Daphnia pulex: one gene and its partners. The protein of the gene in region 3 binds, or shares a complex with, the protein of the main gene of each other region. Links are inferred from orthologs where the notes say so. Each region holds a gene or a part of one and is shown on either strand. Other genes may lie near its edges.

Evidence for each region.
Region 1: the proteins of ubiquitin-conjugating enzyme E2 G2-like (region 3) and E3 ubiquitin-protein ligase AMFR-like are in contact, whole or in part, in an NMR structure (PDB 2LXP), measured with the Homo sapiens proteins. The link is inferred for Daphnia pulex from reciprocal best matches to the Homo sapiens genes UBE2G2 and AMFR. Residues at the interface, in NP_003334.2 of Homo sapiens: Tyr13, Leu16, Thr17, Pro20, Gly23, Ile24, Val25, Ala26, Gly27, Pro28, Met29, Asn30, Glu31, Glu38, Leu40, Met42, Glu45, Glu50, Phe51, Val53, Val159, Gln160, Leu163, Gly164, Leu165; in NP_001135.3 of Homo sapiens: Ser574, Ala575, Arg578, Gln579, Met581, Leu582, Arg585, Lys586, Leu589, Leu590, Ala593, Arg594, Arg596, Phe597, Leu598, Lys600.
Region 2: the proteins of ubiquitin-conjugating enzyme E2 G2-like (region 3) and lipid droplet-regulating VLDL assembly factor AUP1-like are in contact, whole or in part, in a crystal structure (PDB 7LEW), measured with the Homo sapiens proteins. The link is inferred for Daphnia pulex from reciprocal best matches to the Homo sapiens genes UBE2G2 and AUP1. Residues at the interface, in NP_003334.2 of Homo sapiens: Tyr13, Thr17, Pro20, Gly23, Ile24, Val25, Ala26, Gly27, Pro28, Met29, Asn30, Glu31, Glu38, Leu40, Met42, Glu45, Glu50, Phe51, Val53, Pro55, Lys156, Val159, Gln160, Ser162, Leu163, Leu165; in NP_853553.1 of Homo sapiens: Ser379, Arg382, Gln383, Leu386, Arg389, Lys390, Leu393, Tyr394, Tyr396, Ala397, Arg398, Arg400, Phe401, Thr402.

What each region holds. Positions count from the first base shown.
Region 1 is NC_060017.1:3,098,067-3,102,330, reverse strand, and holds E3 ubiquitin-protein ligase AMFR-like, read left to right. Parts: upstream 1-1,437; 5' UTR 1,438-1,710; coding exon 1,711-1,980; intron 1,981-2,055; coding exon 2,056-2,313; intron 2,314-2,389; coding exon 2,390-2,636; intron 2,637-2,707; coding exon 2,708-2,781; intron 2,782-2,850; coding exon 2,851-2,994; intron 2,995-3,088; coding exon 3,089-3,212; intron 3,213-3,267; coding exon 3,268-3,485; intron 3,486-3,552; coding exon 3,553-3,891; 3' UTR 3,892-3,919; downstream 3,920-4,264. UniProt on the Homo sapiens protein: E3 ubiquitin-protein ligase that mediates the polyubiquitination of lysine and cysteine residues on target proteins, such as CD3D, CYP3A4, CFTR, INSIG1, SOAT2/ACAT2 and APOB for proteasomal degradation.
Region 2 is NC_060020.1:2,338,577-2,342,759, forward strand, and holds lipid droplet-regulating VLDL assembly factor AUP1-like, read left to right. Parts: upstream 1-1,355; 5' UTR 1,356-1,586; coding exon 1,587-1,627; intron 1,628-2,038; coding exon 2,039-2,176; intron 2,177-2,245; coding exon 2,246-2,632; intron 2,633-2,697; coding exon 2,698-2,818; intron 2,819-2,880; coding exon 2,881-3,022; intron 3,023-3,090; coding exon 3,091-3,395; 3' UTR 3,396-3,909; downstream 3,910-4,183. UniProt on the Homo sapiens protein: Plays a role in the translocation of terminally misfolded proteins from the endoplasmic reticulum lumen to the cytoplasm and their degradation by the proteasome. Plays a role in lipid droplet formation. Induces lipid droplet clustering.
Region 3 is NC_060021.1:11,411,880-11,414,841, reverse strand, and holds ubiquitin-conjugating enzyme E2 G2-like, read left to right. Parts: upstream 1-1,421; 5' UTR 1,422-1,530; coding exon 1,531-1,573; intron 1,574-1,697; coding exon 1,698-1,779; intron 1,780-1,857; coding exon 1,858-1,976; intron 1,977-2,040; coding exon 2,041-2,181; intron 2,182-2,233; coding exon 2,234-2,352; 3' UTR 2,353-2,385; downstream 2,386-2,962. Other genes in the region: uncharacterized protein LOC124194765, read right to left, coding at 2,602-2,743, 2,806-2,962. UniProt on the Homo sapiens protein: Accepts ubiquitin from the E1 complex and catalyzes its covalent attachment to other proteins. In vitro catalyzes 'Lys-48'-linked polyubiquitination. Involved in endoplasmic reticulum-associated degradation (ERAD).

The DNA of each region.
Region 1 (4,264 bases), on a different chromosome or scaffold from region 3:
GTCTTTTAAGAAATACAACTTATAAAATAGAATTTTAATCAAAAGAAAAGAATTCCATATTTCTTTACTTGACAGGTTGGAAGGTCGTCTACGAAGAATAGGTCTTAATTCGTCTGAAAAATAATTGGAATGATAGCCAGAATTCGGCTTTGAAGCTATATTACCCATTTAATGCTGGGAGCTGTATAGCGGCGTTTTCCGCAAACATATCTTGTTGAATTCCAATAATCCAAATTTGGCTCAACCAAATAACCTCGCAAATAACAACTTAACACTAACATGATAAACATAAATGTTAACTGCTTGTGAAATGCGTGTTGTAAAACGCTACAGTATAAGAAATTGGAATAGAGCCAAAATGAAAAAAAAAAAAAGATTCTCTTTAAAGTGCAGAGAAAGAGAAAATGAAATGAACTTCAAAAGTCACTTCAATTACTTAGCCATCCCTTGTTTTCGCAAAGTTATTGTTGCTTCATTTATTTATATTGAAGGATTACCACTACATCGGATAAAAGCGAAACAGGGCGCAAATTTCAAATGGAAACCTTGACCTGTCGTGACCATCAGGAGGTACGCGATAAGACTTTGGTATGTAGTGGATTCAAATTGTCTCGAATGTGAACATTTACAGAATTTAACGGTTCAGTTACTTTGCAGAGCTGACGCCCTATTGTAACGAATGTTGAGGACGCAAATCAGGCGTTATAACAGTGCCGTGTGTGTGCAAGGACACCTTCTTCCGGTCCCCATCTGGTACGAAATGACACGCTACTTTTTTCATAACCGCCCAACAAGACGATAAAATCGGCTAGACATGCAGCTAGACAACGTTTTATTTCTGATGTTTCTCCCTTTTTTCTGTCTTCCATCACGCGTTGCCATCAAAGCAGAAATAATAATAGTGAATACATTTTCTTTTCAAGGTTGATTCGGGAGTGCAATTTAGATTAGCGTAATTGAGTACTCTTATGCGTGTCTTAGGGCAGTGCCATAAAACTGAGCATTTTTGGTGCGGGAGAATGTTGCGGAATATTTAGCGAATATATCTCAGAAAATTATTAAGGGATCTTATTGAAGTTGTTTCTGAGTAAAAACAATAAAATCTACTCAGACTTGTGACGTATCTTTTTCATTTTTAATAACAAACCAGTATTCGTCGATCTAAAAACAGATTCAGCCCAGTCCCAGCATCACATGCGTAATGAATAATTGAATATTTATTAGCTTGACTGTCCGAGTCTCCGAGAGCGCAATTCAGTCTACATCTACATTTGAGAACATGTATGCAAAGTTGACATTGAATACATTTTTTCCCCTGGGGATAGCGAGACGAAATCTGCCTTGTAATTTTTGCATATTTTTGACCTTGCTAGAAAATAGTTTGCTGGAACTTTTTGAGGTTGACGCCCAAAACGTCAGTAATTTTTTTTCATTCCGTTTGCAGTGTTTACGTGTACTAGATGCTGTTTAGCCTTACCCGCCTTATCAGAGTTTTGACACATTTTCGGATTATTGAATCATTTGACAAGGCACTTGTTATCGAAATGGTCGTTAGATAACGCAGTGTTATCAAGATGAAATTGCCTTGAATTGCTGTGCTAGCTAATCCTAGTTATTTCTGCTGATGTTTTCAAATGCAATTTTCACCCCAGATTTGTTAGTAGTTTTGTCGTCTTGTGAACCCAATTTTTCTGTGTCAACAACAACAACATGCCTGTCTTACTACTTGAGAGACTACCTCTCCCGAGTTTGGAAGCTTACGCGGTAGTCAGTGTTTCTCTTTTGGGTTTGTCTCTTCACTACGCTGCAGAAAAAACACAAAACCCTGAATGGAGGATGCAATTTGTTAAAACGAATAGCAGCCAAGAGATTCCCAACTCCTTGCAAGCATTTATTTCAAACATCCTGTCTCGTTACTGGCTCAGCTCCAGAGCTCAAGATATTGTGTCATTTTCTATCCATGACAGTCTCTGCATTTGGGTTAGAACATGGCCATCCTATATTATTAGTCAATATCCAACACTTTAATCCTTTTTTATCTTCTATCCTTTACAGATTGTTGTGAACATGGCTTACTGCCTCCTTGTATTATTTGGAAATTGGCTGCAGAAGCAGGTGTTTGGGGAACTAAGAGTTTCTGAACTACAGCACATCAAAGACAAGTTTTGGAATTTTGTGTTTTACAAATTTATTTTTATATTTGGCATTAAAAATGTTCAAAGTATGGAAGGTGTTATATTATGGGGGTCCTGGTTTTCTGTTATTGGCTTTCTACACATTCATGCTCAACTTTGCCAAGACAGATTTGAATATGTAATTGGATTTTATCTTTCTTTTTTAAAAGCTCAAACAGGTATTGTAATTTATCTTATGTTTGGCGAAATTATAGTTATCTATGACTCCATGTACCCCTCGAAATCGACACATCCGCTTGCTTACCCTGCTGGGATCGATTCTGGTGGCATCGGGATTATTATTTTTGATTTGCCTCGCCGTTGGACAACGCGCTGGATGGATTACATTTGCCTTGGTCGCCCCGGAATGTCTTCTCTTGGCTTTACGTACCACCCACGTTATCTTTAGATACATCCTCTACCTGCAGTCTTGTCATCCGCCCATCCATCAGATCTCTCAAGGTTACTTGAGTTGCGCATTCGCAACAGAGACTCTCGATGTGCTCAAACATCTGACGATTGTTGGATCATAGGGTGGAGTCCTTCGTCGTACTACGTGGAATTGGCGGTGGAGATTTCATGCCTCGTTGTGGATTTGGCACATCATGTGAGACGAAATTGCTTTCTGCAATGCGACTGAATTTCGGTAACCCCTTTTTTGTCTCTTTTCGTTTAGATTCACATGCTTCTGCGAGCGAATATGCTGCTCTCTATGGCATCTTTGGTCATTTTCATGCAACTGCGAGTGCTCTACGAACAGCTGTGTGGACGTCTCCGGCGACACGGGAACTACAAACGGTTGCTGAAATTGGTGGAATTGGTTTGTACTCGAGTCGATCTAAAATATCTTAATCTCCCCTTCTTCTGCCAAGTCTCTAGTTTTAATCATTTAGTAATTTATTCTGTTATAATAGTGCTGTCCCTTGGAAACACTCCATTTCGAACTCGAATCTGAATGGGAGGATAACAAATGTGCCATTTGCTGGGAAGCAGCAGCTGTAGCCAGACGGTTGCCGTGTGGTCATCATTTTCATCATGGTATTGATTCATAACAATTAATGAGGCAATCCTTCATCTATCTATACTTGTATAGGTTGTCTGTTGCACTGGTTGGAACAGGATCCTACGTGCCCTACGTGTCGACGCCAACTTTTAGAAGATGGATCGAAAGAAACTGCTTCGTCTTCACGTCCCCGGGAAACTGCAAGTTTTATATCGTGGACGGGCTGGAGTCGACTGTTTCAACAAAACACTGATACTCCGGTAGTAGCAGCTGCAGAAAACTCTCAATTGGAAGCTTTAGCTGATCAGGTGTGACGAAATCTATCATAAAATTCTACTAATTCTTGTTCAACAATTTAAATGTTTATCGTTGTAGGTACTTCAATTGTTTCCCGATTATTCGTTTTCTGTTATCGTTGAAGATCTACGGCAAACTCGCTCAGTAGACTTAACAGTTGAGAATATATTAGAGGGTCGTCTTCTGCCCACACTTCCCAGCTTTCAACAAGAGCCTAGTCTATCTACGTTGCCAACATTCGCCAGGCAAGAAAACCAATTTGATGTTTCCCAGGAACCAGAGAAGCTCTTTGTTGATGATCCGCAAGAAAGACAACACATTCTTCAATGTCGTAAGCATGAATTAATCGCGGAAGCTCGAAATCGCTTTCTTCAGAGACAAGCACTCGAAAACAATTCCACTATCATTGAAAGTTGATTTTCTTGCTATACACGTGTGATTCTAATTTGTTATTGATCCTAAAGTGCGTAAATTATGCATTAGTGCATCTCATAATTCAAAAAACCTGTTTGTATATTGGCAAGGTAAATTATGAGTAGAAAGATAGTGCCTTTTTAATAATTACGAAATACCGCTTCGCTCGACTGGGCGTGGAAGAAAACCCTCTCTATGCCGCAAGCTAGTCCCATCACACAGACGTTCACTGTCAAACAGGGCCTACAAACGTGATTTTACTGATTCACTACCGACGAAGTGAATGCGCAATCAATAGTAACATTTGATTACCAAACATGTAGAGGACGAAATCGGAAATGTGTGACATTTTTTTTCTTCTGAGATTAATAAATCT
Region 2 (4,183 bases), on a different chromosome or scaffold from region 3:
AAGGGTCTTGTGGCGGCGTTCATTAAAACCAAATAACAGGAGAAACAGATGAATTCCTCATGTGAGTAAAGTATCCGCCCCACAGTGTGTGTTCAAACCCAATGGAATTCAATTAACTCACTAATGTTGGGAATTTTTTCTCGGCACGTTTGGGCTCTCAAAGCGTACGTGCGTGTAATGGGAACCAAAATACTGAGCAAATAATTGAAACCGTTTCAGTCCGGTTCTTCTTCATTTATTTTTGTTGTTGGGGTCGCCGAAAATAAATCGTCACACATGTGTGTAGTACACATACTTTCGCATGCGATATCGATCACTTGCTTTATGAAATAAACATTTTTTTTTAATTACATTTCATCTGATCACATATTTCGAGAGCATTGCGGCGAATCAATTTTAAATTACATTTCTCTCGCGCGCTTTTTATCCGCCGTTTTCCCACGGTGATGTTTTGTTTCGTGTTTTTTCACTCCGTCTCGGATCAATATCGAAGGAGACTGGAATACACAAAGATGTGTATACCGCCCTCTGTTCTTTTAAAACGATATCTCTTTTATATTTTTATACTTGTCGTAAACTATAGTTGGACTCTCAGGTGAATCAGCCTTCGTTGCAAACGCCCCACTTACCATTTAAACGACCAGAGTACCTATTTTTTCCAATTCTTTTTATTGTATATTAGTTTATTTCTTCTACTGCCGAATCGATATGTTTCTCGGTCAAAGTTTACGACTTTTACGAAAGTAGTTTGAGGGGGGGGGGGGGGCAATGTCGACAATTGCTGGATGAATATTACTTGTAAATGCTGCTACTTCGGTAGCGGAACGAATGCGCCGGTAGGCCATTTTCTTTAGAAAACCATAGCGGCTCTTCTTCTATTTTCAACAACAAAAAGGAAACTTACCTTTTCTATTATAAAATCGGCAATATTATTGGACCCTCGGTCTGAGGTGCGCACTTGCCCAAAAGGGACGCCGAACGTTTCGTTACGGATCGTTCCCAATTTTAACTTTTTTTTTTTGCCAATGTCCAATATCTTTTAGTATACTGTCACTACTGTAAATACGTCGCGGAATAATAATACGGGCGCCAGTCCGCATCTTCCATGGGATTTTCTTATATTACTTCATGCTGAACGGATGCTGGTAATTAGCTTATACTGTTCCGCATGCAGGTTGTTTTTTTAGTTTTGCTTTATTCCATGTTATCCCCGGTGTCTTTAGAAAGCGCTGTGGCCTTCGTATCGTTTAATTTCGGGTACCGAAAAAGCTGTTGAAATTGTCAATTGTGTAGCAAATTAATGAGGCCAGACAATTAAAGGACGATGGTCGGGTCTTTTTTAAAATTTGAAACACGTAGTACGGTAGTAGACATGCTGCTGTCTTAAAGAATCGTGGCAAGATACAACTATATTTAAGTTATGATATAATCCGTTCTTTACTTCTTATTAGCGTGATAACAGAGCTTTCTTTTTGGACAAATGGACTGGTCAATATTGACTCGATTCTGACGTCATCAACAAATCGACTGGTTGCTGTTTAGTAGTTCCGACGTATTTGCAGGGGTCTGTTTACGTGTCGATAGTAATGGCTTCTCCTAATTTAGAAGAGTTATTTGAGGATTCAAGGTAAAGTTTCCTCGAATTTTCGTATGACATTCATCCAATTTTCAAACCTCTTTCAGTCTGTTACAAATTTTAAACAGCAGCTTCAATTTTGTAGCTAAGGTCTGACATGAAACTATCGTTCCAAGTAGGTTTTTCGCTATGCAATATGCTACAGGATCTTGCAGATCGATCTAAACATTGAATTTCCGAGATTATCAAGTCCTACTCAGACCTTTTAGTCAGCATAAATTGTCATTGTGTCCATTACAGATTCTTAATAGAAATATGCCCATACAGCAGCAGATGTTATGATTTGCTTGCCTTGGGGCTGTGTGGGATCACGTTCTCTTCCCTTAACAACTTTGTGTTATTACTGTGGTGCTAGATGTGTAATGCGTTATTTTATAATTCTTATTGTTTATTTTTGTCCAGGATCACACAATGGGATTGGACATTGCTGTTGTTGGTATTTTACACCCCTCTAGGGCTGTTGTTGCTAGTAATGAGAATATTTGCTCTCATTCAATTCTATCTCATGTTTCTGTACATGCCATACCAACCTATCAAAAGGTAACAGTCTATACCTCATTTAAAAATAAATATGGCAAACTATCATGACGTTTGACTCCACATGTTCAGGTACTTGTTGAGGGTGTGTGGATTCATGCTGGGCGTCTTTGTGAATGAGAAATACTCAAACAAGGCAGTTGTTCAAGAAAATGCTGTCTGGGTCGCAAATCACTGCAGCCCCTTTGATTCAATTGTGCTTCAAGTTATTGCGGATAAGAAAGGAGTCATCACCACCTTTCCAGAGGAAGAAACAACAACAGCCAAATCAGGACTTCTCAAATTTCAGCTCGGAAGCTTTGAACAACACAAACGAAACAACCCGAGCCTTCCGGTTCAGCCGCTCTCTTTGAGGATTTCACGTCCTTTCCCGTCTTTTGCCATCACAGTTCTTGACAGCCAGTCCTGGACGGATGTGTTCTTCCTCCTTTTCAGCCCCTGCACAATTTTCAACATTAAGTAACGCTAAATTTAACTTTGTTGACTCAAGTATCCAGCGATCCTAATGGCGGTTTTTATTTTAGATTTCTGGAACCGACTCAATGCCGTGAAGATGAAGAACTCGAAGCTTACGTCAATCGGATAGAATCGACTGTCAGCCAAGACCTCGGCGTTACCGTTACATCTTTCACAGCCAAAGACAAGGTGAAGACGTTGCTCTTTATAACTTTGGTCATTCGTTTATAGTAATAAAATGATTTCTCTAGGCTGAACTAATCAAAAGAAAACGATTTGAAGCTCAACCTCCTCGCCCTGTTCAACGACCCAACAATCGATGGCAAGTGATGGCCAGTCAGGTCAAAGAAGTGCTGCCACATGTACCGATGGCTGTCATTTTGAGCGATCTAAGTAAAATAACTAGTTTTTTATTGAATCAAATCACACATTAACGTTTCTATTTTTATTTTCGTACGTAGGTCGCACTAATAGTGTGGATGCCACGGTGGCAAATTTAGTGGAAGGTGTTGTCCCTTTCATTCCCGAGCCTGTCGTGACGAGGGTAGAGAGTGCTCCGTCGGGGCCGTCGTCACAAGCTGGCCCTTCCAACTTTAAACCGTTGGGTGCTTCGTCGCAGTTGCAACAAGTTGCTGCGTCTTCTTTCAGCAAATTGGTTCACGAGCGTGGCCTGTCATTGCAGGAACGAAAACAGCGCTTAATGCGCCAAGCCCAGCTGCGTTACTGTGAACGGCATGGCCTTCAAATATCGGGAATAAATTGCTGAAAATGTCAAACAAAAAAACAACAACAATAACACGCTGTAAAAGATTACAATGCTTCACTTCTCTCCCACCCCCTTCCCGAGATATCTTTCGTTTAGTTTTTTTTTTTTATTTTTTTTTTTTTTGCTTTGTTTTAGACGGTTTCTCTTTCTTTTTTCTTATTCCCTCCAACCTGTATTGTGTTTATTTGTCCAGCGGGATTCAAAAATCATCGTATCTCTTGTACTACCGTCTAAATATTTGAACAACTCACCTATTGAACGCAACCGTCGACACAACCATCTGTACATACATATAGATTTGGATAGATTCAAATAGCTTTTTGGAATTTAGAAATTCAGTCGCGTTTTTCGGTTCGTCAAAATACACACACATCTTATTTGGTGGGAAAAAAACATTGAAAAAGACTCGGTTCTCAAGATAGATCTCGTTAAAAGCCCTTGTCGGATCGTTAGCTCAGCCTTTTGTTTTTTCTCTTTATTCTTCTGTTAAAATAAAAAGAAACGAAACCTTAAAGTTGGAAGTGTGCTAAATGGAGGTCAACGGGAGAGAAAGAAATCGTCTAGACATTTTAGAGCACCTGCCGAGATTGAATAATAGATAATTGCAAGGGGAAAAGAAAGGAGCCATTAAAAGAATCGGTCTGCTTTACAATTTGAAAAAACTTCGGAGCAAAAAAGAGCTTTTACTTAAATTGTCATTTACTTGCGTTGTCCCGAATGGCTGTTCATGATTTTAATTTAATAATAATAAAAAAAAAAACAATTGGAATTTTAAATTTACCGAAACA
Region 3 (2,962 bases):
AAGAGCAGCTTCGGTGTAGCAAGTCGGAACTGCGTAATACTTGGCCGCCTCGGTTGTGGTTGTGTAGATCGGGGCAGAGTAGTACTTTGCCGCTTCGGTGTAGTATTCGACCGTCTTGGTGGAGATCAGCGGGAGCCTCGGTGTAGCAGCTGGGAACAGAGTAGTACTTAATATACTTAATATAGGTGCAATAAGTAGCTGAGAACAGAGTAATACTTGGAAGCCTCGGTGTAGTAGAATGGGGTAGCATGCGTAGTCCTGCTCCGTCGCCTTGGTGGTGTAGTAACTCGGGGCAGAGTAATACTTCAGGGCGTCAGTGTAGTAAATCGGGGCAGCGTAAGTTGTGGTATAAAACTTCGGTGCCTTAGGGGTGTAGTACTTGTAGACCTCGGTGCAGGAACTGGTCGTTGCGTAAGTTGCTTTTGGGTAGTAAAGCGGTGGCGTTGCGGTTTGGTATCCGCCATACCCAGGAGACATCAATACACCAGTGGTCGACCCACCAATCAACGATACAACATCCAACAGCCTTATTATCTAGACATTAAACAATTTCAAACATTATTAATCAATAATAATTTGCATTTTAACAAACAGAAAATAATTGGCATTAATAAAAAACTTTATGTAGAGACAGAATATTTACCCATGGGTGAAGAAGGCAGATGGTGACAGATAGCGCACAGCAGTTGTTGCCGTGTCGGAGATCCTCACTCGACTGATGTCTCTGGCCTTTTTCGTCTCCTTTTTATACGATTTTTTGATCACCCTCACCTCTTAAGCCTTGCGGGTATTGTACCTGTTCGATAATGATGAAACACGTACCTTTCTCACCCAACCTCTCCGCCGTCGCATGATACGTTCTACGTAATGATCTCCGTGACCTTCGAGCGTCAAACTGGCCTTTCCTTCTGCAGTTTGAAGTTGCTGGGGGGTGGGTCGACAAAAACCAATATCAAAATGAATACCAAATGGTTATGGCTTGCAGCTATTTTACCTGTTTGATAATGATGAAACACGTCCCGTTCTTACCCAACCTCTACACCACTGCATGACACGTTTCACGTAATGATCTCCGTGACCTTCGAATGTGAAGGAAATGCAAACTGGTCTTTCCTTCTTTAGGTTGGCGTTGCTGGGGATGGGTCTACAACAACAAATATCAAAATGAATACCAAATGGCTGAGCCTTGCGGCTATTATACCTGCTTGATAATGATGAAACACGTACCTTTCTCACCCAACCTCCACCGCACTGACAGTTTTACACGTAATGTTCACCGTGACCTTCAAGCGTGAAGAACATGCAAACTGGCCGGCCCGTCTGCAGACCCCTGTCAACCGATTTGCCTCTTGACTAGCATGCTCTAGCGGTCTTCAACTCAACCTTTTCTACAAAGTAATATGCAGACGAAAAAAGACCAAAATTAACAGATTCCAAGTTTACGTTTGATCATACCTGTGACAGTGTGACATCATTTATCAAGTTTAGATTTCAGTTTAATTTTATTAAGTGTTATATTCTGTAGTTACAATGGCTGGGTCTGCTCTTCGACGTTTAATGGCCGAGTACAAACGTGAGAATTGTTATTTTTTGTTATTTTTATAACTTATTAGGTATTCCTGTATATTTTACAAATTTAAGTAATGCATATTTAAGTAACCCTTAGCAGTTATTTGATAATGTATGACTTTTTTTAGAACTTACCTTGAATCCACCTGAAGGTATTGTAGCTGGTCCTATCAACGAAGAGAATTTTTTTGACTGGGAATGCCTCATTGTGTAAAATATTTTGATTCATTTTCTGTGCATGATCTTGTCTCACTTTTTAAATACATTGGTGGTTTTTACAATCCATAGGGGACCTGACGGAACATGTTTTGAGGGTGGTGTTTTTCCAGCAAAATTAACATTTCCAACTGATTATCCATTAAGCCCACCAAAGATGCAGTTTACTTGTGAAATGTTTCATCCTAACAGTAATTTAAATAAAAACTTAGTTAAATATAAAAACACTTGTTAATACTCAAGTTGATTTACCAGTCTATTCAGATGGAAGGGTTTGCATTTCCATTTTACATGCTCCAGGTGATGATCCCTTAGGATATGAATCTAGTGCTGAACGATGGAGTCCTGTTCAGAGTGTGGAAAAGATTCTACTTTCAGTCATCAGCATGTTGGCAGGTCCGTATTTAAATTGGTAAACAATCGCCCTTAATTAACCTCTTTATTACAGAACCTAATGATGAGAGTGGAGCAAACATTGATGCTGCAAAAATGTGGCGAGAAAACCGAGCTGAATTTGATCGCATTGCAACTCGAATCGTTCGGAAATCATTGAATATTCCCTTGTAATATGTACAATATAATAAAAGAAAAATTATGAAAGCGGTTGTCCTTTTAAAAAATATAAAAACTCGTCTTCGACATTAATTGTATTTGACAGTTTTGTGTTATGTCGGGAAAACACACTGTATATTATCTATATATTGAAAGGTTATATTAAACTCTATAGATGCACATTGGCAAATGTATCTGTCCAATCGGAGAGAATTTGTAAATTAAATTAGAAATACTTTTTCAATGACTAGAAATGACACCATTCTAGGGGGCAAAGTGGGAATGTTGCAGAGAACCTTCTAGTTGCTCTGAGTAGTAGTGAGTTGTATTTAAATAGTCTCGCAACCGTTTGGGAAGTGGCAACATACTGATTTGATCTCGCCTGATCAACTTCAAAATAACAAATCTAAGATAATTAATGTGTGAATTAAATCAAATTAAACCATGTAGTTTATTTGAAAAATGTACCTGGACAAGTGTTGCAAGCTTTGAACTTGGCGGAATCGTGATACTGGGTGCAACAGCTGAACACGAGTAGGTCCGTGTGTTGGCCTTCGATGAAGGAAAAAAAGAAACCGACCACTCCTCGAGTGTTCGATAGCCTTATCTATGAACTCAACCATTG